3 linked regions of the Saccharomyces cerevisiae S288C genome follow. The protein of the gene in region 3 binds, or shares a complex with, the protein of the main gene of each other region. Each region holds a gene or a part of one and is shown on either strand. Other genes may lie near its edges. The genes, in order: CDC50, YNR048W and DRS2. A codon is read from its position in the direction of its gene.

What was found.
Region 1: the proteins of DRS2 (region 3) and CDC50 are in contact, whole or in part, in a cryo-EM structure (PDB 6PSY), measured with the Saccharomyces cerevisiae proteins. Residues at the interface, in NP_009376.2 of Saccharomyces cerevisiae: His241 (codon at 10,111), Val242 (codon at 10,108), Ser243 (codon at 10,105), Pro244 (codon at 10,102), Met469 (codon at 9,427), Lys475 (codon at 9,409), His476 (codon at 9,406), Leu477 (codon at 9,403), Ser478 (codon at 9,400), Tyr479 (codon at 9,397), Leu480 (codon at 9,394), Tyr481 (codon at 9,391), Leu482 (codon at 9,388), Asp494 (codon at 9,352), Thr497 (codon at 9,343), Tyr520 (codon at 9,274), Phe523 (codon at 9,265), Met524 (codon at 9,262), Ser527 (codon at 9,253), Asp528 (codon at 9,250), Leu529 (codon at 9,247), Tyr532 (codon at 9,238), Glu534 (codon at 9,232), Asp537 (codon at 9,223), Pro539 (codon at 9,217), His1000 (codon at 7,834), Trp1003 (codon at 7,825), Tyr1029 (codon at 7,747), Ala1032 (codon at 7,738), Asn1033 (codon at 7,735); in NP_010018.1 of Saccharomyces cerevisiae: Lys21 (codon at 2,039), Lys22 (codon at 2,042), Pro23 (codon at 2,045), Pro24 (codon at 2,048), Asn25 (codon at 2,051), Phe28 (codon at 2,060), Arg29 (codon at 2,063), Gln30 (codon at 2,066), Gln31 (codon at 2,069), Leu33 (codon at 2,075), Lys34 (codon at 2,078), Ala35 (codon at 2,081), Trp36 (codon at 2,084), Gln37 (codon at 2,087), Pro38 (codon at 2,090), Ile39 (codon at 2,093), Leu40 (codon at 2,096), Ser41 (codon at 2,099), Pro42 (codon at 2,102), Val45 (codon at 2,111), Leu46 (codon at 2,114), Leu48 (codon at 2,120), Leu49 (codon at 2,123), Val52 (codon at 2,132), Phe56 (codon at 2,144), Leu63 (codon at 2,165), Phe138 (codon at 2,390), Tyr140 (codon at 2,396), Lys142 (codon at 2,402), Asn145 (codon at 2,411).
Region 2: DRS2 (region 3) and YNR048W share a complex: the UniProt entries of both Saccharomyces cerevisiae proteins name them as parts of the flippase complex.

What each region holds. Positions count from the first base shown.
Region 1 is NC_001135.5:284,784-291,502, forward strand, and holds CDC50 (aminophospholipid translocase regulatory protein CDC50), read left to right. Parts: upstream 1-1,978; coding exon 1,979-3,154; downstream 3,155-6,719. Other genes in the region: CCR4-NOT core subunit CDC39, read left to right, coding at 1-1,660; OCA4 (Oca4p), read right to left, coding at 3,387-4,475; YCR095W-A (uncharacterized protein), read left to right, coding at 4,856-5,014.
Region 2 is NC_001146.8:709,668-715,685, forward strand, and holds YNR048W (putative aminophospholipid translocase regulatory protein), read left to right. Parts: upstream 1-1,962; coding exon 1,963-3,144; downstream 3,145-6,018. Other genes in the region: serine/threonine protein kinase FPK1, read left to right, coding at 1-1,537; MSO1 (Mso1p), read right to left, coding at 3,356-3,988; LYS9 (saccharopine dehydrogenase (NADP+, L-glutamate-forming)), read right to left, coding at 4,381-5,721. UniProt on the Saccharomyces cerevisiae protein: Accessory component of a P4-ATPase flippase complex which catalyzes the hydrolysis of ATP coupled to the transport of phosphatidylcholine and small amounts of phosphatidylethanolamine from the lumen to the cytosolic leaflet of the trans-Golgi network and ensures the maintenance of asymmetric distribution of phospholipids.
Region 3 is NC_001133.9:88,867-101,329, forward strand, and holds DRS2 (aminophospholipid-translocating P4-type ATPase DRS2), read right to left. Parts: upstream 10,832-12,463; coding exon 6,764-10,831; downstream 1-6,763. Other genes in the region: MYO4 (myosin 4), read right to left, coding at 1-3,404; FRT2 (Frt2p), read left to right, coding at 4,034-5,620; DNA-binding protein SAW1, read left to right, coding at 5,821-6,606; ribosome biosynthesis protein MAK16, read right to left, coding at 11,359-12,279. UniProt on the Saccharomyces cerevisiae protein: Catalytic component of a P4-ATPase flippase complex which catalyzes the hydrolysis of ATP coupled to the transport of phosphatidylserine and small amounts of ethanolamine from the lumen to the cytosolic leaflet of the trans-Golgi network and ensures the maintenance of asymmetric distribution of phospholipids.

The sequences.
Region 1 (6,719 bases), on a different chromosome or scaffold from region 3:
GATAATGCCAGTGAGGAAAGGTACCAAAACCACAAGAACAGAAAAGCTTTACTTAGTATTTACGGAATGGGTAAAATTACTTCAAAGAGTTGAGAATAACGACGTAATCACAACTGTTTTTATCAAGCAATTAGTCGAAAAGGGTGTTATCAGCGATACTGATAATTTACTTACATTTGTCAAAAGTTCTCTTGAGCTATCAGTTTCTTCATTCAAAGAAAGTGACCCGACTGATGAGGTTTTCATCGCTATTGATGCTCTAGGATCGCTAATTATAAAATTGTTGATTTTACAGGGTTTCAAAGATGATACAAGAAGAGATTACATAAATGCAATATTTTCTGTGATCGTTTTAGTGTTTGCTAAGGATCATAGCCAAGAGGGTACCACATTCAATGAACGACCATATTTCAGACTATTTTCTAACATCTTATACGAATGGGCTACCATCAGGACGCACAATTTTGTTAGAATATCTGATTCCAGCACTAGGCAGGAGCTGATCGAATTTGATTCTGTATTTTACAACACTTTCTCAGGATATTTGCACGCTCTGCAACCATTTGCCTTCCCTGGATTCTCATTTGCATGGGTGACACTATTATCACACAGAATGTTATTACCAATTATGCTAAGATTACCCAATAAAATAGGTTGGGAAAAGTTAATGCTTTTGATTATCGATTTGTTTAAATTTTTGGACCAATACACAAGTAAACATGCAGTCTCTGACGCTGTTTCGGTTGTTTATAAGGGAACACTGCGTGTTATTTTAGGCATTTCGAATGATATGCCATCCTTTTTGATTGAAAATCACTATGAATTAATGAACAATCTACCTCCAACATATTTCCAACTAAAGAATGTTATTTTATCTGCTATTCCTAAGAATATGACCGTTCCCAACCCATATGACGTGGATCTTAATATGGAGGATATTCCAGCATGTAAAGAACTACCTGAAGTCTTCTTTGATCCTGTAATTGATTTACACTCATTGAAAAAGCCAGTTGACAACTACCTACGTATTCCCTCAAATTCATTATTAAGAACAATACTAAGCGCTATTTACAAGGATACCTATGACATAAAAAAGGGCGTAGGCTACGACTTTTTATCTGTTGATAGTAAATTAATTCGCGCTATTGTATTACATGTGGGCATTGAAGCTGGAATAGAGTATAAGAGAACTTCTTCAAATGCGGTATTTAATACGAAGTCTTCTTATTATACTTTATTGTTCAATCTGATTCAAAATGGTAGCATCGAAATGAAATATCAAATTATTCTGTCTATTGTGGAACAATTGCGGTATCCAAACATCCACACCTATTGGTTCAGCTTTGTGTTAATGAATATGTTCAAAAGTGACGAATGGAATGATCAAAAACTTGAAGTCCAAGAAATTATTTTAAGAAACTTTTTAAAAAGAATTATTGTTAACAAACCACATACCTGGGGTGTTTCAGTTTTCTTTACTCAGTTGATAAACAATAACGATATTAATCTTTTAGACCTGCCCTTTGTACAAAGTGTTCCCGAAATTAAACTAATTTTACAACAATTAGTAAAATATTCCAAAAAATACACAACCAGTGAACAAGATGACCAATCCGCCACCATCAATAGAAGGCAAACCCCTCTACAATCCAACGCATAAAAAAACTGCATTTATTTATATACGAAAATCATGATTTCAGAAAAAAAAATATAACTTGTATAATACTATATTTCAGAGAATACTATTTTGAATAAGAATAGAAGCAATTTCGATTAACTTTTCTTACTGTATATGGGTCGCTTTCACTTTTGAACTACTGAAAATTAGTGTTACCCGTATTATTGTTTTGGAGAATAATAATAATAATGAGCATCAATTTATATCAAACAAGAGCTGCAATTACCTTATGTCCATGACGCACTGCGAACAAAGAATAATTGAGTAATCGAACTTGAAGTTCTATAGAACAGCTTGTATATGGTTTCATTGTTCAAAAGAGGTAAGGCTCCACCGCTCACGAAAGAAGGCCCCACTTCTAAAAAGCCTCCTAACACAGCGTTTAGACAACAAAGGCTTAAGGCATGGCAACCAATACTGTCTCCTCAAAGTGTGCTTCCGTTGTTAATATTCGTTGCATGTATATTTACTCCTATTGGTATTGGACTCATTGTAAGCGCTACTAAGGTACAAGATCTAACAATTGATTATAGTCATTGTGATACAAAAGCATCTACAACTGCTTTTGAAGATATACCAAAGAAGTACATTAAATATCACTTTAAAAGTAAAGTTGAAAATAAACCACAATGGAGGCTAACCGAAAATGAAAATGGCGAACAATCATGCGAACTGCAGTTCGAAATCCCAAACGATATCAAGAAATCCATTTTTATATATTATAAAATAACCAATTTTTATCAAAATCATCGCAGATATGTCCAATCGTTTGACACAAAGCAAATATTAGGGGAGCCTATCAAAAAAGATGATCTGGATACAAGCTGTAGTCCAATAAGAAGTAGGGAAGACAAAATAATATATCCCTGTGGGTTGATCGCTAATTCCATGTTTAATGATACATTTTCTCAGGTGTTGAGTGGTATAGATGACACAGAAGACTATAATTTAACTAACAAGCATATATCATGGAGTATTGATCGTCACAGATTTAAAACCACCAAGTATAATGCTAGCGATATTGTTCCACCGCCAAACTGGATGAAGAAGTATCCCGATGGGTATACAGATGAAAATCTTCCTGATATCCATACTTGGGAAGAGTTCCAGGTATGGATGAGGACTGCAGCCTTTCCCAAGTTTTACAAGTTGACGTTGAAAAATGAATCTGCTTCTTTACCGAAGGGTAAATATCAAATGAACATTGAGTTGAATTATCCGATTTCACTCTTTGGTGGCACAAAATCATTTGTACTGACTACAAATGGAGCTATTGGTGGTAGAAATATGTCACTAGGCGTACTGTACCTCATCGTTGCAGGGCTTTGCGCCTTATTTGGCATCATTTTTTTGGTTAAATTAATCTTCCAACCAAGAGCGATGGGTGATCACACTTATTTGAATTTTGATGATGAAGAAAACGAGGATTATGAGGATGTACACGCAGAGAATACAACATTGAGGGAAATTTTATAGAGGCCAAAAAACAAACTTTAGTGCCTGTAGGTATTTGTGTTTATAAGTAAACAAGTTTTGTTGACTTCCTGAAACGTAAACAAAAGAAAAATTGAAGTATGCCTTTTTACGCTTGGAAAATAGTGCGACAAAGAACTCCCAGGGTTTGCTATTCCCATTTAGATGATGAAATGATAGAAAAGTGGAAAACGTTTATCATGAAATCATCTATACATATACGTAAAAATGTAAACTATGTAAAAATATGTTCCCTATAAAAGTGATGCTCTTCCGGAACGTTTTCTTTTTCCCACAAATCTCGTTGAAACCTGAACCAATCTGGTAATTCAGAATCACAGGGTATCCTTATTTTGACGTTATCTTTTCCCCTTGCTTTATAATAGCCATAATCTCCATTTTCTTTTTTATTAAATGCTAATCTATACCTATGGCCAAAAATTCCTAGGTCAGAAGAGGTTTTCTTCAAATCGTCTCCTAGAACTCCACTTACTTGTAATACTTTATTATTTTTCACTTTGGTTTCGATTTGATTTATTAATGTCAAAAGCCGCTGAGGCACTTCTGGCTCTCTGCAAAGGTCATCTTCATTTACTCTAATAAGTTTGCCAGAATTGGCCTTATACTCTATCGAATGCGTCCTATTATTCTCAAGGGGCAATTTTTTTGCTTTGTTGTCCACAATTGTCTTATTATCCTTCTCCTGTTCTATCTCAATGTTAATTATTTCTAGAAATGTTTCCGCAAAATAATTTCTATTCTTACCAGAAAATAATCTGTACTCATTTATGATTGATGCAATATTCCATTTCTGAATTTTTCGAAGTATACCAATGACCAACGCGGTCTTATCTACCAATAAAACATTATAATTATCCACATTCAATAATGTTTTGAAAGTTCTTTTTAAACACGTGCTCTTAATCAGCATTAAGTCATCATTGTCAGTCAAGTGGTAAGCCAATTCCTCCTGAATTACAGGATCCCCTGTAGTAGAATTTTGTGACCCATTTGCAGTGGATTTTTTCTTTTCTTCCTGTAATGATAGAGTACTGTTATTATTCGAATATAAATTTGCGTTAGATACAGAAGAGCTTTTTACCGGAACTGCCGCAGCCGAGAAATCAGACATCCTTAAAACAATCCATTTTATGGATGATCTTGTGAAAAAATCTTTGAAAAACTTGGATGGTTCTTGACCTCCAATAAATATAGCTGTCTTTAAATTGAGAGTTTCCAGAAAGGATAAATTTAATGTCTCCACTTTAGAACATCTATATATTCCTTCTTCAGCAATCCCAAAGTTAGCAGGTGGAACCAGCATTATGAATTCAGGTTATGGATCGCACCAGTGCTGTAAGTGTCTCTCTTTTTATTCTACGATCTCCATATAACAACCACATCTCATTTCTTTACCTTACTGTCCATTTAATGCTAGAAAACTTCCGAATATTGTATTATTATTACCCGGATATGTCAAGGCGGTATATTAAGATGTTCCTTTCAAAAGTTTCATTATACCGCATACGGTAAGGACAGCCATAAGTAGTTTTACTGATAAAATATGGGGCTAAAGAACTGTATATTTATGGATAGCACTAAAAGTAAAGATTTTCCCCGTGTCCTGACTTGGAGAAACAAAATTTCATTGTCATAAAAAACTTTTAAAATATGATATTCAAAGCTTGAGCATTGGGCTTCTGGATGACAGTTCTAATCAAGTTGGGTCTAAGGATATTGCATGTATACAAAGGATTCTTTCGGAAAGTAATCCTGAAATATTTTTTTTTTTCGTCTGAACATACGAAAGTAAATAAAAAAAGTTCAATGCATGCCTTCCTATGCAAGATTTATAAAAGGTGAACAGGTCAGGAGCAGCCACATCTCAATAAAGGCAGTTAAAGACGGTGATGTAGGTGCAGAAAGAGAAAGTGAACAAAGGATGATTTGAGATGTGTAATGATTCGTTTGAGCAGCAACAACTGCTAAGATATTCATACTAATAGGCCACTTCACACATTATGCCTTGGAGAATATCCTGCATTGCTCCTTTTATAGTATAGTCTATTCAGCACTAACAAGCAAAGCGAACATAATGGTAAAACTAACTTCAACTGTTGCTGGTGTCGCCTGCATCGCTGGCCCTCCCCTCCACTACGGCCATTTTAGCACAACTTGAATGAGTCAACTTGGTTGAGTTGCATGTTAACGTCTCTGATATCAGAGCTCACTTGCTCAATAATACATGTTACAAACTGCCCACTAAATTGAACACTCTAACATTATATTGACCTGAATTATTTGAAACGAAGTCAACAGAATGATCACTGATTTTCCAATGTACTCCGCTATGTTGAAGCTAGCCATCTTAAGCGATCAATGACGGTGCTCAATCATTCTTCGAAATGGGCTAAAAATGACAGTTGAAATATATTCTTTACGTTCATTTTTTTTCATACTGCAAACCCATTCTAGAACCAATGGTAAAAGTGACGGGAGTTGCTTTCTTTTACTATTTCAATGATAGCTATAGCCTGCATACACACAAAAGAATGTAAGTGATTGCGTGAAAGCTTAAAGTCTTAAAACTGTATTTTTTTCAACTCCTCCCATATATTAAACTGGTCCTCACAGTTCGCAGGATAACTAACAATTAAAAAAATTGTTCATATGGTTGTATTTCTTTCCGTCTCACATTATTAAAATTCAACGAAGAAGTTTCTACAATAACAGACAAGGGCCTACGATTACTATGTACTGGAAGGTGAGTCTTGAATTCATCCTCAGAGATTGTTCTAAAGACCAACAGAAATCCATATAGATTACCGTAGTTACTCTGATGGAATTTCAGAGTAAGACCCTTGTCAACTTCATCACTTTAAGTTGAGATGTAGAAAGACACTTTTGTAAGGTCTCCAACAAGTATATTTGATAAATAGACTGTTGAGCTACAAAAACTCAATGTGAAGTAAAAGACCTCATAAATGATCGATTATCTGTTTGGCAGGTACTAATAAAACTGCATTGGTGTCTTTTTTCACTTACGTTAAAAAAAACTTTTTGCAATGATTTAAGCGTGCGTGAAGATAACACTACAATCCATTTTAAAGCAACATCCACATTGAGTGTATACACCACAAAGGTTTTTTCAGGGCGTTTTTCTCGCCACTTTATGTTGACCAAAATTATTAATGGAACTTACAACGTTTCCAAAAGTTAGTTAAATACATACGTCTATTTACTAAGCAAGAAATATATCATGACAAGCCCAAATATTATATTGTTATGTTTACAAAAAAAAAATGGCTATATACATCAAGTCTGGAGGCTTTTTATAACAAGCAAGTGGGGTAACTTAGACATAAGATTGACTTCTTTGAATTCAACAAAAATACATACTTTTGATGATTTCAATGGTAGAAGCAGTAGTAACTATGCCGATGAAATAAAATCCTGATATCATCTATATAGTAGTACTCACGTTACTAGTATATCATCTATAAGATGTAGGAAAATGTCATAAGAAATGAGAAACAGTCATTAAATTTAATGGAAACGAAATGCAAGG
Region 2 (6,018 bases), on a different chromosome or scaffold from region 3:
GACAACCGACAATAAAACGAGAAATCTTTCACCTACCAAACAAAATGGTAAAGCTACCCATCCAAGGATAAAAATACCTTTAAGAAGAGCAGCTTCAGAACCAAACGGGTTGCAACTCGCATCTGCCACATCGCCGACATCTTCTTCAGCAAGGAAAACATCAGGGTCCAGTAATATAAACGACAAAATCCCAGGCCAATCAGTGCCTCCTCCAAACTCATTTTTCCCTCAAGAACCCTCTCCAAAGATTTCTGATTTTCCAGAACCTAGGAGGTCCCGACGTTTGAGAACTAAATCTTTCAGCAATAAATTTCAAGATATCATGGTGGGACCACAGTCTTTTGAGAAAATAAGATTGCTGGGCCAAGGTGATGTAGGTAAAGTTTTCTTAGTAAGAGAGAAAAAGACGAATAGAGTGTATGCTTTGAAAGTCTTGAGTAAAGACGAAATGATAAAAAGAAATAAAATCAAACGTGTTCTGACAGAACAAGAGATTCTTGCCACCAGCAATCATCCCTTCATCGTCACACTATACCATTCGTTCCAATCTGAAGACTATTTGTATCTCTGTATGGAATACTGTATGGGCGGGGAGTTTTTCAGAGCTTTACAAACAAGGAAAACCAAATGTATATGTGAAGACGATGCCAGGTTTTATGCCAGTGAAGTGACAGCAGCACTAGAATATTTACATCTGTTGGGTTTTATCTATAGAGATTTAAAACCAGAGAATATTTTGCTGCATCAATCAGGCCATATCATGCTTTCTGACTTCGACTTGTCTATTCAGGCTAAAGATTCCAAGGTTCCTGTTGTCAAGGGTTCCGCTCAATCAACCCTTGTTGATACCAAAATATGCTCAGATGGGTTTAGAACCAATTCCTTTGTCGGAACTGAAGAATATATTGCCCCTGAAGTCATAAGAGGTAATGGCCACACCGCTGCGGTCGATTGGTGGACGCTAGGGATTTTGATCTATGAAATGTTATTTGGTTTCACTCCATTCAAAGGCGATAACACAAATGAAACTTTTACGAATATTTTGAAAAATGAGGTCAGTTTTCCCAATAACAATGAAATCTCCAGAACTTGTAAGGATTTGATCAAAAAATTACTGACAAAAAATGAATCTAAAAGACTGGGTTGCAAAATGGGCGCTGCCGACGTGAAGAAACACCCCTTTTTCAAGAAAGTCCAATGGTCTTTGCTGAGAAATCAAGAACCGCCTCTGATACCAGTGTTATCTGAGGATGGATATGATTTTGCTAAATTATCATCTAATAAGAAGAGACAGACTAGTCAAGACAGCCATAAACATCTCGATGAGCAAGAGAAAAATATGTTTGAAGAACGAGTTGAATACGACGATGAAGTCTCTGAAGATGATCCATTCCATGACTTCAATTCAATGAGTTTGATGGAACAGGATAACAATTCAATGATTTATGGTAATACCAATTCTTATGGGAAAATTGCATACACTCCAAACTCCAACAGATCGAGGAGTAATAGTCATCGAACCTTTTTTAAGAGATAAAGGGGGCTTTGACGTATAAGTGTCGGTATTTTTTTTTTTTTTATTGATTTTTTTTTCACTCTTATTTTTTCCCTCATTTATTCATCATACATTTAACGAACTCTATTTCTTTTCAAAATCCTTATCTACCTATTTTTTTTTCTTTATTTTCTTTCCTCTGTCAGTTAGTCAGTAGTGTGTAACTTAAATAAATCATATATCGGTGTTTCAATTTCTAGCATTCTGTGTAAACATCAGATGAAGCATTGCCTTTCTTTTCAATGAACTCTATGTAGTTTTTTCGATTTGCTTGCGTACTATTTTTCACGCGATAGTTGAAGAAACGATAGAAGGATGGCGCAATATACAAGTTAAAAGCAAATAGATATCTAATCAATAGTTAACATCTAGAATAAAGTGCTGGAACTTAGATTTTTTTGTGCAATATGGGACTGATATTAAGGTGGAAAGAGAAAAAACAGTTGTCTAGTAAGCAAAATGCTCAAAAATCCAGGAAACCGGCAAACACATCGTTTAGACAACAGCGCCTCAAAGCCTGGCAGCCCATCTTGTCGCCACAGAGCGTACTGCCGTTGCTTATTTTGATGGCATGCGTCTTCGCACCCATTGGTATAGGGCTGGTGGTCAGCACGATAAGTGTCCAAAGACTAGTGGTAAACTACACAGAATGTGATGCATTGGCACCGGCGAAGCATTTTGAAACGATTCCCTCCGAGTACGTGGACTACCACTTCAGTAAGAAAGTCGCAGTCCAACCTCAATGGATGGTACTTACGGATCCTGAATTAGGCAATCAAACTTGTCGAATACAGTTCGAAGTTCCAAATCATATCAAGAAATCTACTTATGTTTATTACCGCCTAACAAATTTCAATCAAAACTATAGAGAATATGTGCAATCTCTTGACCTAGACCAATTAAAAGGAAAAGCATTGATCGGAAATGATCTGGATCCAAACTGTGACCCTTTAAGGACGGTAGAAAATAAGACCATATTCCCCTGTGGATTGATAGCAAATTCGATGTTCAATGATACATTCGGCACAACACTTACTGGTGTAAACGATACTGCAGATTATTTGCTTACCACAAAAGGTATTGCGTGGGACACCGACAGCCACAGATATGGAAAGACCGAATACAATGCATCCGATATCGTACCGCCCCCAAATTGGGCCAAGTTATTTCCCAATGGCTACACTGACGATAACATTCCAGACCTACAAAACTGGGAACAGTTCAAAATATGGATGAGAACTGCTGCATTGCCCAACTTCTATAAGCTAGCAATGAAAAATGAGACCAATGGGTTAGGTAAGGGTATTTACATTGCTGATATAGAACTCAACTACCCAGTAAGATCTTTCTATGGAACAAAATCTTTTGTATTAACCACAAACAGTATTATCGGTGCTGGAAACGAGGCATTAGGGATTGTTTATTTGATTGTTGCCGGGATTGCAACTCTTTTCGCCATACTATTCCTGATAAAAGTCATCTTCAAACCAAGACCTATGCATGATCATAGCTACCTAAATTTTGAGAACAGCGATACCCCATTCGATGAGAGTAGTGTCGTTAGTATTCCATTGAGAGAAATTTTATGATTGATTATCATTTACTATAAAATCCCTGCGTTTGATTCGGTCTCTAGGGAAGCGTTGTAATTTCATGTATATTCAAAATAAGGACGAGGTTATATACCATACTATATTATCTCCTTGCATTCTGTATCAAACACTTTATTCAGTACATATACGATACCTATATATTCATTAAATGTTCTTTTCGCTTTATTTCAGCAAGGTATAGTGCTATTTAAAATCCATAATCGTTATTGCGTCTCTTTAGTCTGTCCTTCATTGCCATTACTCCACTACTTGCGTCTGGTGGCGGCGTTGGCGTGCTGGAGGTGTTGAAACTGTTCGACGTTTTACTTCGACCGAGACTTGCCCTGAATTCTTGGCCTGCTGAAGGTCTAGTCGGCCGTGATGAAGCTCTTCTCGGTGTCGCGCTAGAGGAGCTTGTATGATTATTGTATATATCTTGAAACGATTTACTCGCAGGCGTGTACTCCGGTGTGTTCCCGTTTGAAGAAGGTGTACCCATAGGATCTTCTGAAGAAGCCTTCCTTCTGTTAGAAAAGGATGGCGAGAAATGACGCGAGTTTTGCTTCTTCATATCATGCTTCACTTGAGTATCTAATATTTTACGTTCGTTCGGTAAATCTTCCTTCTCCCCCAACCATCCTGGGAACCCCTGGAAAGGATGCTGATTTTCATAGAATTTCACAAGCCCTTTATGGACCAATGTAGTATTTACAGTATCACCATCTTTTTCTGCTTTAATGGATAAATGTGCCAACGATGTAGATAACGATTTGGTTGACGACTTAAACTTGTTCCAAAATCGCCCGGATCCTTCTTGGGAATGCGATACTTGACTCATCATATGCGTGAAATCTTAGTTATACTGGTAGTTGGTATTAGGGCCTAGCGTCTAATAGTTAGTTGGCGTTTTATTTTTTTGCACCTTTCCTAATAGTATTAATCTCTAAAAGTGAAAAACTCCTAAGAGTCTTTACGAGCTCATTTAATACGTTCTGATCAGAAGCAAGACTATAAAATGCAATAGCCAATACTTTTTAGACTAAAGGTAGACGACTTACTAGCGGTTCAAGCTTCAGGAACTACACTCTCAATTACGTTCTAGTCCATTTTGTCCCTCTTTCCGGTTTTTTTTTTTTTACGTTTCCTTATGAAAGTATAAGTAATACTAAAGAAAGATTTATAAAGTGCCGTTACTGTTACGTATGATAAACCTTTTGATACATTTCTTCTTATTTAAGCCACTGTCTTTTCCTTTAGATAGATGCCGTACTTGTCCTTTAGTTCTTTCATGATTGGATCATTAATCTCTGGTGAGTATGGCGCTAGTAAGCCTGGTCCCTTGATTGTACCATCTAAGACGAATTTCGTTGCAATGGCAACTGGATAACCAACAGTAGCGGCCATAGAACTGTAACCACCAACCTTACCATAGTCAACTAAAGTGGATGTTCTTGTTTCGGTAGTTCCATCAGCCCATTCAATACCGAATTTGTGTTGTAGTACAACCATATCTCTTTCATTGTCTTCATATTGCATTAGTTCTTCTAAACGTGCACATAGAGTGTCTAAAGCATTACCTCTTGGTGTGATCTTTGCGTCAGAGAACAAGCCTAACCAAGCAAACCCGGAAAGGATTCTTTCTCTATCTTCATCATCTTTCCAAGTAGCCTTTGAGTCAATGGAAGCAATCAAATCTTCTTTAGAAGTAGACTTGGCACCTAAATATTGTTTTAGTGCTTCGTTCCAGGCAATTGGCTTGCTGAAGATTTCGTTAGCATCATCCTTCAACATACCCATGTCAACTAAAGCCTTAACAAATTCTGGGAAACCTTGATATCTCAAAGTACCTCTAATGACCGTTTCGGCTTCTGGAATATGATAAAGATCCTTGAAAAGGGTAGAGTCTCTATTTGGGTAGCAAACGAATGCATAACCTGGGTAGATGAAGTAAGGCTTAGCAGTGGCCATTAAGTCTTCGGAAGAAACAGTTTCAATCTTTCCGTCTTTCCAGTATTTAGCAGAGTTTCTTAAAGCCAGTAGCACACCTCTGGAGGACCATGAAAATTTGTATCCTAATGGATTATCAGAGTCTTCAGGAGCTGGTAAACCACCACAGTATGACAAGAATGACTTTAGCTTACCACCAGCTCTGTGAACTTCATCAATAGTCTTGACCGCATACAAGTGGTCGATACCTGGATCCAACCCAATTTCGTTCATAACTGTAATACCTGCCTTTACGATTTCTGGTTCCAATTCTCTTAAGGCAGGTGAGATGTAAGAGGAAGTGACGACATCGGTCTTTGTTCTGATGGCGCTCTTTACCACATTTGGATGGAAGGTGTATGGAATCAAAGAGATGACAACATCGTTATCAGCCAGAACTTTGTCTAAGGCACTGTCATCGGTAACATCCAATGAAATAGCCTTGGATCCAGAGGGCTTGGCCAATGCTTGCGCATTGGCTAATGTTCTACATGCGACAGTGACATTGATGTCATCATTAGCAGCCAATGTGTCGATAACAGGTTGTGCAACAAAACCAGATCCTAGCAACAAAACGTTCTTTCCCATATTAAAATATATAATACGTTAATATAACTCAATTGTCCTGATAAGTTTTCCCTACTGCCTAAGGATCCTTCCCATGTAATTTTACCAGGACCCTACGGTTTATATACCATTAAGCCAAATTCTGTGCTACTTTCTATCATCTATTGCTGATAATTCCATTGGAAATTCTCAATACCCTTTATTGACATCTTTATTTTTCACTACAAAGCGAATTTTTCCAACGGAATTTCGATTCCAGAGTATGAGTAATTCTTTTCACTACTAAACGCATTGCTTCGTGGTCAGTAGTAACCGCAA
Region 3 (12,463 bases):
TTGTCTCCATTCACCTCAGTAACATTTACTTTTTTCAAGTAACCTTCTGTGACTTCTAATGTGTAACAATTCAGGTCCATTAGTAATTCTAGAAGATCAGGATTTCCTGATTCTCTACGAATTACATTGACTAGCTTCGGTTTTACTTGTTGTCCTGCGATTCCCAAACCTTTCACTTTATCATTCTTATTAGCAGAATATGTGGTGGTGAAATCTTGTGCTATTACGTTTTCAATAAACGCTAGTTCTTGCTTCATTGATTTGACTTCATCACTTAATCTTGAAGGTTTGTTACCTTTTATAGCAGCCAAACTTTGCATATGTGACTGTATTAAAGAAGATTGCTTCTTTTTTCTCTCCTTCAAGGCATTCTTCTTGTTTAAAGTATTCATGATTTCAACTTGTAACGTCTTCAGCTTGGAAATCTTATCATTATAACCATTTACTATCGTTTCGTACTCTTGCCTTTGCTTAGATGGAATATTTGACAAATCTCCCTGCAACAACTGTGTTAATCTTGTATATGAGTCATTTAACATCTCTAGATTCAAAATGAAAGAGTTCTTAAATTCGATAGCTTCCTCCAGTAATCCAATCCCGTAACTAGCCCTAATATTCCGTTCTTCAACTTCTTTTTGCAGAACTATATACCTTCGTCTAGCTAACTGCATTCTCATGGCGCTTTGTACAAGAATGGAGCTCCTTTTCAATGTTCTGTAATCTGTTTTGTGACCATATGATCTGATGTAGCTTTGGATAATTACTGCCGCCATGAGCATGAATTTCCTGTTAACACTATCTAAAATCAATTTTCTTTTACAGGTACATTGTAGTTTTATTATTTGCCCAATGGCAGCTCTATAGTATTCCCGTTTCCATAATGCTCTAATGTTCGTTTGTAGTAATATGGCAGCTCTTGTCTTGAGCTCATGATCGACCCTTGTACGAACCAACAAACTTCTAATTTGGCTTTGGCACTTCTTTATTGATTCCATGGTCTGCAAATACTGAAGCCTATAGTATCTTGCCCTTATCTTTTTCTGTATTATGATGCATATTTCATTCATTTTATTAGTCCTTAGCTTTTCCAAAAATGCAAGCATTCCTGCTTTAAAGAAAATTTTGGTATTACCAATTTGGTATTTTGCTGAATCAGAGATAGTAGCATCTAGAATAGATTGACAGAAGTTGACGATTGCCTCTTTTGGGAGGTCTGGATTATAAAGAATTCCACTCCATAAGCTGTAGTCCGTCAGGAGGAAATATCTTTGAACGAATTCGTCAAAAGTCCATCTTGATGGAAAGCCTGCACATGAAATCCTGATTGTTTCCAGCACACCACAAGCTCTTAATTGCGATAAGACCATCAAATTATCGAACTCCCATGGCTTTTTTTCAGAATTTGGTTTTATGCAACGAATATAATGAACATTAGTAGAATTTATGATGGCCATCAATTCCCCGAGCGATTTTTTGAACATAGATCCCAGGGTTGGTTTCTTTTGACTTAATCTTGCTGGGATCATTATCTTTTTTTCAGTATTTTGCTCTTCAGGAGCATCGTCACTCCTAAGTTCTCTGTTGTCTAAAATTTGTTTGAAAATTGGATTTGTCGTTGCTTTGAAAACATCCAGATGACCTAGGGAAACGCTGTCTCTATTCTTTTCAATAAACCCTTCAACTTCATATTCTACATCAACAGCATAATGGCTTACTATAAACTTCGTTTGTCCGAATCTTGGCTTCGAAAAAACTTCATTTGAGGGCGGTTTATTAAAGGCAGAATATAGTTTTGAGGCCCATGATTCATCTGAGCCTGATGGTAATCTACTTTCTTCATCTAATAGAGAAAGTATTCCAAGTTTATTCTCAATCAAGTCTATGCAAGGTTGGTTGTCGCTGAACTCAATGAAAGACCACTCAATTTCCTCCTTTACATATTCTTCTTGCTCCAATTTGAAAACGTGCTGGTTGAACTCTTGTTGTAATTTTTCATTCGCATAGTTTATACAGAATTGTTCGAATGAGTTTTTCTCAAAATGCTCAAACCCGTAGATATCTAAAATACCAATAAAGGAAAAGACATGATCTTGTTGATCCAGCTCAGGATCGTATAATGTCTTGTTAATGTTGTCTACTAGCCAATCAAAAAGCGTGGAATAAATAAATTTCGCCACAGAGTCCCTAGCAATTAGCGCTTGATTGTAATTCAAATTAGTGACAATTTTTTCAGACCTTGTGACGATTTGTTTCTTGACAATCCATTTTGCAAAATTGAAGGGATCAATACCCAATAATTCACATGCGATTTGCAGGTTTTGCTCTTCCGATGATAGTGATGCGTCGTTTCTAGTCATTTTCATCTCGATATTACCTATATGTAGCAAGCCTGCAAGAATTTTGAAAATTCCAAGCTGAGTCTCGTGGTTTATACCTACTAATGACAGGGCATCAGTGGTTATCTTGTATTCTCGAGCTTCATCTATACCAGCTATGTTCGGCTGTCCACCTTGGTTAGTATAATGGTAGTCCTTGGGAGATGACAAATGCAGTTCTTGTTTTACCGGTTCTGGCAATCCTTCCAAAATTTGGTAAAAAATATGGTAATTTCTTTCTGTCTCTGGCTGATAAACTAACCTGGATTTTTCCAAGAGATAGGTTCTAATTTTGGACCCCCTGATGGTAGTATTCTCATCAAATAAAATTTGCAGATATTTGCCGAAACGAGAGGAATTATCATTTCTGGTAGTTTTGGCGTTACCAAAGGCTTCCATGATCGGGTTAGTAGCTAAAATTTGGCTCTCGATTTGAGACATTTCCACTTCCCCTTCACGATTGTTGCTTTCTTGGACTGAGGCAAAGTATCTCATAATGTATTTAGCAGAGACGGTCTTACCAGCACCGGATTCACCACTGACTACAACAGTCTGGTTAGCCTTTTCATGGACCATGAACCTGTACGCCTCCTCTGCTATGGCAAAAAGGTGCGGCTCCAGCTCATCTTTACGCTTACTAGAATAATTCTGTATCATCTCGCGAGAGTACAAATGGTCGACTTTATCAAAGGGATTAGCGGCAATAAGGACAATACCAGAGTAAGTATATATCTGTCCATTCATGTATCTTTTTTTTATGGCATGCAGCACTGCCGGTTCGTTCAGATATGATAGGGTGGTTAAGTCATCAGTAGACTCTAAAATAGGTGGGTTTCGTAGTACAGGTAGCGTGGGATGATCATCATCATTTTCGAAGCTATTTGTTTCAATGGATACAGTTTCTCCATCCTCCAATTTCAACTCTAAGTGGAACGTTCCTTCAAAGAAGTCATTCTTGGTGACTTCGCCGCCTATCCAGCCTTGTTCTTTGTGAGGGTACCAACACTTAGTTCCTACTTCAAATGACATGCGGGAGAACTGGTTATAGGATTTTTTTTGTTTTTTTGTGTTTTAGAATTAGATTGAATTATAAAAAGAAGAACAAAAGGGTATCGTATTGAAAATAAATTGTCTCGCCAAACTGGTAACAATGTTTTCAGCTAGAACAATAAGAAAAGAAGAGAAGGTAAAAAAAAAGGTGATAACTCCGTAGGAATTGAGGAATTGAGTATGCAGAATCAGAATAAAGGCTGACTTTCAAAAAAAGGTTGTATTACAATTGCAGGTTTTCGATAAAAGAGACCCTATTCTCATCTACTACTGCTAAACTTCGAGATATTTTCGAATTTTTCAGTCTTTTCTTTTTTTTTTTTCGCATTAGTTCAGAACCCTAAAGAATGGTAAACATTCTATGGATAACCCGGAGAGTGAGTTTCTTAAAGACCTAGTTTTATTTTAAGGGTTTTAACTCAATCTTGATGTTTTCATTGTGTACCCTAAAGAAAGTTTAAGAATAGCCCTAACTGTTACCTTTTGAAATAAAATAAGGGGAAGGTCAAAAAGCTATTGTTCTATTGTTATGAAACATTGTCTCAAAGAGTAAGAATAACACAAATTGATGGCAGTTTTTTACGTAGTCCAGTAGTTGTCCAGGTACAATGCAAAATGCTCAAATAAAGAGCTCTTCTAAAGGCAGCGGAATAGATGGTACAGATCGCAATAGCAAAGATGGTGTAGAAAAGAGACCCCTGGAAGATGTAAAGCAAATGATTGACGCTGGAACACCAGATGTTGGCCACAAATCTACTGTTGAAACTAAGCCAAACGTTGGATGGCAAGCCTCTCACAGTAATTTGGCTGCATTACACGAAAAAGAGCAGAAATATGAAATGGAGCACCATCATGCTCGTCATAAACTGCATCGTCAAGTTATTCCGGATTACACGTCTGCCTCGACCGCAATGTTCAGCGATTGTATGTTCAACGCAGCACCAGATAAAGTACGAAGTCTCAGTACGATGAAGTCTTCTGGACTCTCGCCAAAACACCCATTTAACGTAGTCGCCACCTTTAAAGGACCATTCCCGCAGCATAGTGTAGAATCAAAGCCTCTCGATGGTGGATACTCTGCCAAAGACCATTTTCCCTCATTTAAGATGTTGCAAGCCCAGCAGCACCCAGCCCATCGCCATTACAAAGACAACGACAAGTACGGTCTTAAATCACCTTCCCGGTCCTTCGTGAAGGACAAGAAAAGGTTGGTTCACCGGTTTTTGAAATCCATGGAGCCTTCTTCGTCTGGGCAATCTAAGGATTCGTCTGCACTGGCGCCGGCTTTCGATCCAATATTGCCCAATGTTATATCTAAGCCTTCCAAGCGACCCACACATCATTCGCATTCATCAGACGGGAGTTCTAGCACGCAGACAGATATATCGTTACAGAGCTTGCTTTACCATGATCTTGAAAGCTCACCAAAGAAACATGTTTCGCCCTCAAGACCGCCCTCTGTAGCTTCCGAATCCTCTCCTGCCGTTGCTAATCCCATTGGGCTTTCGCCAAAAGACGCCTGCAATGCATCGTTTTCGCAGTCGTCCTCATCTTCGTTGTCTTCTTCTTCATCGTCTTCATCATCGACGTCATTCTCACAGTCAGTGGCTGTTGATCCTCTTGAACCTCCTGGAAATATCACATATAGTAGTTCGAATCTTTCGCTAAATTCAGATGAATTAGACTACTATCAGCGTCATATCGGATTGCAGTTACAGCAGACAGAAGCTTTACTAAAGCACAGTTTGAAAGATGAGGTTCTGAAAGATGAAAATGACCTTGTTAAAAACATTGCAAATTTTGACAAGATCGTTAAAGAGCTAAGGGACTTAAGATCCAGGACCATTGGATGGAAAGAGCTTGTTGAAGAGGATTATTTAATGAATTTGAAACAGGATTTTGACAAGGAAAACCCCGAATCATTTGAGGCACGTTTGAGTGATACAATAAATACAAACGTGGCAAAATTACAAGATTTAGAGAAAAGAATGGCTTCTTGCAAAGACAGGTTGGCCTCTAGGAAGGAAGTAATGAGGAAAATGGAAAGTTTATTGTCTTTGGAGAATTCCTTAATGATATCCAAAAAAAATGTAACATTCGCATCTAAATACCGCAACGAGGCCCTTGATATTGTCTTTTTAATTATCATCATCGTCATATGCTATACCTTCAAGCATCTAGTATCGCATAAATAAAAAATAGTATTTGTATATCAAAAAATGATCCTGTGATTTTTTCATATGTAACGTATAAATGTAAAAATGTGCTTCTTCTGGTATTTTTAATCAAGTGGAAAGATGAGTGGAAAAAAGGGCAATGAAATAGAAAAGGACAGGCCTGAAAGGGAAGAATACAAGAAGATTGAGTATATTGGACTTCACAGTAACCGTGAAAAATGGCACCAAGTATAGCAACGGTAAAGATAGCCAGGGACATGGTTTTGCCATTACGTATATTTGTCAATAGAAAGCAGATCCTTCAAACCAATGATAAGACTAGCAATAAGTCGAATGCCACTATATTTGAAGCACCATTATTATCAAATAACTCCATAATCTGCTTAAAATCACCAAATACAAGAATATATTTATCGCAACAAGATAAGAAGAATCTTTGTGACGAGATCAAGGAGGACCTGTTATTGATTGTTTACGAACTAGCGTCCCCGGAAATCATCAGTTCCGTACTCAGCAAAATAAGAGTTGGTCATTCTACTGATTTCCAAATCAACGTTCTGCCCAAACTTTTTGCAGGTGCCGATACGGATAATGCGGTAACTTCTCACATCCAGTCTGTGACAAGGCTGGCTAAATTCAAATACAAGTTGCACTACAAACATAAGTGGGAGCTCGACATATTCATCAACAGCATTAAGAAGATCGCCAATTTAAGGCACTATTTGATGTTTCAAACATTAACATTAAACGGTTTCTCATTAAATGCAGGACCCAAAACGTTATTAGCTAGGAAAATAGAAAAACAGCCCCAGGTACCTAATTTGTTAATAGAAAATGGGGACGCTGATGCCCTGGATACACCGGTGGAAGAGGATATAAAACCTGTAATAGAATTTATGTACAAGCCTGTTATTAATTTAGGTGAAATTATTGATGTACATGTGTTGCATAGGCCTAGAAGACATAAGGTACGTACCCAGTCGAAGCAACCCCAGGAGGAATGAAAAACCGATAACAAAGTGATGGCTTAATATTATAACTTCTATATAACGGATATATTTTATGGTAAATGTACATATTTCAGTAATGGTAATAATGACTTTTCTTTTTATCTTATTTTTATTTTTGTATTTTTTGTCTTCTGCTCTTTGTTTCTGTGCCTCATATATCAAATGAAATATCATCTCTCGAAGAACTGAATCTATTTGAATTTTGATTACCATCAGCAAATGGATTTTCAATGAACGGTTCTGCACTTTCAAAGTCGTTACTTCCCAGTCCATTATTGTCATTAAAGGGGTTCGCCGAAGCATCTTGTAATTCACCGTACTTACCTCTCTTTTGAGTAGTATCATACATTCTGACAATTTTTTCTTGCCCACCCTCTTCAGCCTGTGAAAAGGCAAATCCTCTTTGTTTTTTCATTCTTTGCACTTGCCTCACCTTCCTGATGGCATTTTGAAATTGCTGAACGTGCGGCCTAGAGTCGCTGATATTGTATTTCTGCATTTCTTGAATAACATGATACGTTTCTGGTTCATACATTCTTTTATAGTACTTCCATAGAAAATCTCTTACCAGTGCAAAAATTGGTAAAACGATCAAAGTTAACCAAAATACACCGGATCCATACGTGTGTTTAACCACACCATAATACTCTCTTGAGATGTTAGCATGAGGAAATATAGAAGCATAAATTGGGAAGAATATTAACCAAAATAAGAGGGAACCAGGAATGGCAATTAAGGTGAATTTCGTCCATTGATTAGTTACCAAAGCAGCCTTTCCCAAAACAATAATGACACTTGTAGTGTAGACAGTTACACCCCAAGACCAATGATCAGCTAGTTCGCCGTGCATATTTAAGGCAAACCCATATCTGTAAATCAATATGGTGCCAATAAATACTATTGCAGAATGGAAAAAGCCATTAATAATCCATCCCCAGAAGATGTAAACAGAGAAAAATTGACCCTTCTGTCCTAATTTGTACAATTGTGGGTACCGCTCAAGTAATCTACTACTAACAAATTGATCAAATACACCAATGACAAAAGGGGGCCAAACAGTGAAGAATAAGTTGTAGAAACTCATTGTCCATGATTCCATAATGGATTGACCTGAAAAGGCATTGGCAAAAACGTACCAAAACTGCGTCATGTATAATGCTGTATTCTTGTAAAAAGAGTACAAAATTGCGACAGAAATTCTTTGATAAGACCAGGAGCCATGGACAAGTAATAGTTTTTTTAAAAATTTAAATTGGCCAACAGCTATATCAGCTGAACGAGCCGCTTGCATACCTTCCATACCACTAATACCGACACCAACATGAGCTGCCTGTATCATACTAACATCGTTGGCACCATCGCCAATGGCTAGCAGTAGTGAAGACGACTTTCTTTTTACCATTTTAACAACCAAGGCTTTCTGTAGTGGAGATACACGGCAACATATAACCGCTTTACAAAGCTTCGCCACAGTTAGCAAATAATCTTCTAATTCTGGTTCCAAGGCAAAGCCTAATGACTTCCCATCAATGACGAGCGCTAAGGTATTCATATCATGTGTTGACAATTGATGCTCGTTTAGAGCGTTAATCTTCTCTAACAAATTTCTCTCAGTATCATCTCTGGTTTCCTCGTTGATGATCAACAAATTCATGTCTTCACTCAATAAACGGCAACTCATACCAATGTTAATAGCAGTTTCCTGTCTGTCACCAGTTAAAACCCAAATTTTAATACCCGCTTCTTGTAATGTGTGGATAGTTTCTGGAACACCGTCCTGTAACTTATCTTCAATAGCAGTTGCACCAATTAATATTAGATTTTTCTCGATTAGATTTGCGGCTTCGTCTAGCTTCTCGGCTCTGTTATCTAATGTTGTGGCAGCCTCATTATAAATGCTATTCCATTCTTCATATTCTCCTTCAGAGATATCTCTCATCGCCAAACACAACGTCCGCAAACCCTCAGATGCATAATCTTCTAAATGTCTCATTGTAGCTTCTACATATTGATTAGCTTCATCATCCAATCTTTCCAGAATGACAGTATCAGCACCTTTACAGAATAACTTTATCGAACCATCCGGAAATCTAAATATAGCGCTCATTCTCTTCCTGGTGGAATTAAATTCACAAATGTTAAGTAGTTGATACTCTTTTTCCTCGCCAGTTTCCTCCAATAAAACAGTTACAGAGTTTGGTTTACGGATGATAAACTTATACCCTAAATCTGCACCACCTTGAACGAGGGCACCTTCATCTGGAGAGGCTGCTTGATATTTAATAGATCCATCGCTTTGAAATTCTGGAATGACAGTATGACAGGTAGCCAGTAATGTTAAGAAGTCATTGATAATAGGTGAATCCTCATCAGAGGGATCATTTAACTTTTTCTTCAAATCGTCAAATTTTCTATAACCAACTTCAATCCCATCTTCAACAGTGGCCGTTTTATCTTCAGGTATTTTATCAATATAGCAATGGCCTGCAATAGAGCAGGATTTAAATTCCATAATATTTCTTGTTAAAGTTCCTGTCTTGTCACTGAATATATATTCTATTTGACCAAGTTCTTCAACCAAAGAGGATGTACGAACCACAGTTGGGGTATCAGTTTTTTCGTAGTACAAATCTAGATCTGAACCTATCATAAAAGCCTGATAATATTTGATTAATTCAACGGTGACAAATAGAGAAATAGGAACTAGATTCGAAAATAGAATCCAAAATGTTAAAAAGTCTTTGAAGAATAAGCCAGCCTTGTTGGTACCCTCCAGGTAAAGGTACGATAAATGTTTGGCATCTGCAGTAGACATAATAACATTACCAATTGAAGAAATTAAAATTAGCACGATTAAAACTGTGAACAATGCAATAATCTGTCTGTTGATAATTTTCTCAACCGCGGTTCTTTTAATTGGGGTTGCAGTAGCATTACGCAATAACTTAGTTTCATGACCAGTGAAGATAACTAAACCAAATATCCATGCAGTATTTCTTAAAGTTGCACCTCTTAAAATCATTTGGTCAGGAGATAACGGTATTTGACGATCATTTAAAGTCATTGTACCTTCATAAGTATACAAGCTAGAGTTCGGCTGTTCGGAAACAACTTTTCCGTTCATGTTCTTCAAAGTTTTAACGTCTATAAATTTGGCAGTTTCTACTCTCGACTGTTTGATTTTCAAATTTGTTTCACCATCCAAGTTGGCAGTTTCAATGTAGCAAAGACCCTCCGGTTCCGAAGATGACAAAATTATGGTATCAGCAGGAATAGGTTCCTCTGATTTTACTCTAATTATGTCACCTACACGAATATCAATCCATCGTTTCTCAACAAAGTCATCATGTGCTTCTGAAAATATTTCTGCTGTCGAATTATTTAATTCTTTATCAGAATTAGCTCTCTTGATATCTTCGATACATTCCTTCATGGCAGAAACAATCAAAACCACTAATAAAGTACCAATTGTGGTGTATCTATTAGTTGGCGAGACGTGAGGCACCTGTTGAATGGCAGATGTACATAAAAAAAACAGATTAGCGTATTTGGAAAATTCTTGGAACAAAAATTTAGGCAGAAAGGTCGCAAAATTATACTTGGTGGTAGATATATGGTTGTCACTATAACCGAAGGAGGAATTAGCGAGAGAATCGTTGATGTGGATGACTCTTGGTTCACCATTGCCCTCTGCGTCGCCAACGTTCTTTCTTAAAATGTACCGGTTGAAAAGAATTTTAATGTTGAACTTATTCCTCGAGTCTAGATAATTATCGTCTAATTCGTTATTAGTCACCGCATTGTAATGATTCATTTCGAAACTTTCGGGCCCTTTCTTCCGTTTGAACGTAAAGGCATTTTTGAGACCATTACCAAACCTAGCAAATAAACCGGGAGGCTTGACTGCTCGTAGGGATTGTGGTTGATATGCATCTGAGTCGAATCTATTGGCATTCCAAGACGTTTGGTCGTCATGGTTATTGCTCATAAATAGATTTTCATGGACATCATTTTCAATGTTATCATCATCAGCGTCTAAGTCGATAGTCTCTTCGGGAAGTACATGACTTGGTGGTATATAATTCGCGTTCGCATGTGAGTTGGTGACCTTTGAACGGGATCCAGAATGAGAAGTCGTGTCGTCTAAGAAGTCAATATCGAAAAGCGTGTCGTCCTCCCCAGGTTTCCTCTTTGGGGGGGTTTCTCTGTCGTCATTCATGGTAAAATCAGGGAATGAAAGAACCTACCAGTAAATTATTGCTTGGCGCTAACCTCTATTTGGCGTTACTGGCTTCTTGTTGCACTATTCCCCTTAGAATTGCCAACAATTGTTGATTATATGTTTCTTCAACTTAGTGGCATTAAACAGATTTGGGTTTTCTGGCAAAAAAAGCCAATCACGTGATCAGGAAGATTTCAGTGATTTACGCTTCAAATAACCTTTACCTCAATAATCCCGTAATAGTAAGCTTCTAATAGTAAGCTTCTAATTTGCAATGTTATTAGCCCAACAGCTACTAAAGGTATTATTTTTTTTTTTTTTGATAAGAAATTTAAGTGTTACAGAATGGGCCATCTTACAAAAATAATAGTCTTTATGTATTTTTATATATGTAAAAGAATTGAAATATTTTATAACTGGTTGTTATTATGGTACAGTGCGCTGCCCAATCCACGTGGAAAAATCCTGTTCATTCAATAATAGAAACTGAAATCATGTAATGTTGCGTAGTATAGTGCGTGAGCTTATTGTGCCACTTCTTGCTCAGCATTTTGAACTTCGTGTTCCTCCTCGTATTCGATTTCGACTTTAGGACGTTTAGTTTTGGCACTAGTTCCCTTCTTACGTCTCTTGGCTGAATTCTTATTTTCTTCATCACTATCGCTGTCGCTCTCGCTTTCACTGTCGCTTTCGCTTTCACTGGCGCTGGAAGCTTCTCTGTCAGAGTCAGCTAACCACTTTTCTAAGTCATCCACGTCAACGTATTCACCTTCGCCATCATCTGCAACGTATTCAACTTCCCCATCATCACTTTCCTCTTCTTCATCCCAGTCTTCTTCCTCGTCCTGAGAATTCTCCTCTTCCATTTGACCCATTATCTTCTTCCAGACCTTTTCGTCAACATTTAATGGTTTATCACCGTAAGCACCACTCTTTAATCTGTCCATCAATTCTTTTTCGATGGCTTTTTCAATCTTGGCAGCTACCAATGCCTTTCTCTCCCTGTTTTGTTCTCTTCTTTTGACCTTTGGTGCTACACCAACGTAGTGTCTCTCCTCCTCCCTTAATGCTAAACGTCTCTCTGTTATCATGACCTGCGTCAATTTTGTAAATCTCTGTTTACACTTATGACGGAAAAACTTGCTCCAATGTAGTAGGTGTTCGTCGATCTGTTGTAAAGCCTTCGTGTAATTTTTGGATAGTTTGATTCTTTCCCATAACTTGGCAGGAGTGTGCGCTCTTTCAGGCGTCTTCATATACAAGTACAGTTTCCCATTGTCACACTTCACTGTTGCATACTTGGAGTTGGCAAGTGGGCATGATTGCCTTGTACACAACCCAGTGACGTTATACTCATTTCTGCAAAAATTTTGACCATTAGGTGCCTTAATTCTATGAGAGCAGAAACTTTGATTAATCACTTGCCAAACAATTTCGTCGGACATATCCTCGTTGTATTCTAACCGTTGTAGTTATGTACTGAAGAGAACACTGTCAAAAGAAAGAACTAAGCAATGCAATATCTGCCTCTATACCAATCACTTTTTCATTTTTTTTCAAAAGCTCATCGGAAAATTTTTCAAAAAAAAAAAAAAAAAAAAAAAAGGTTTATTACCCTACTGCATTTTG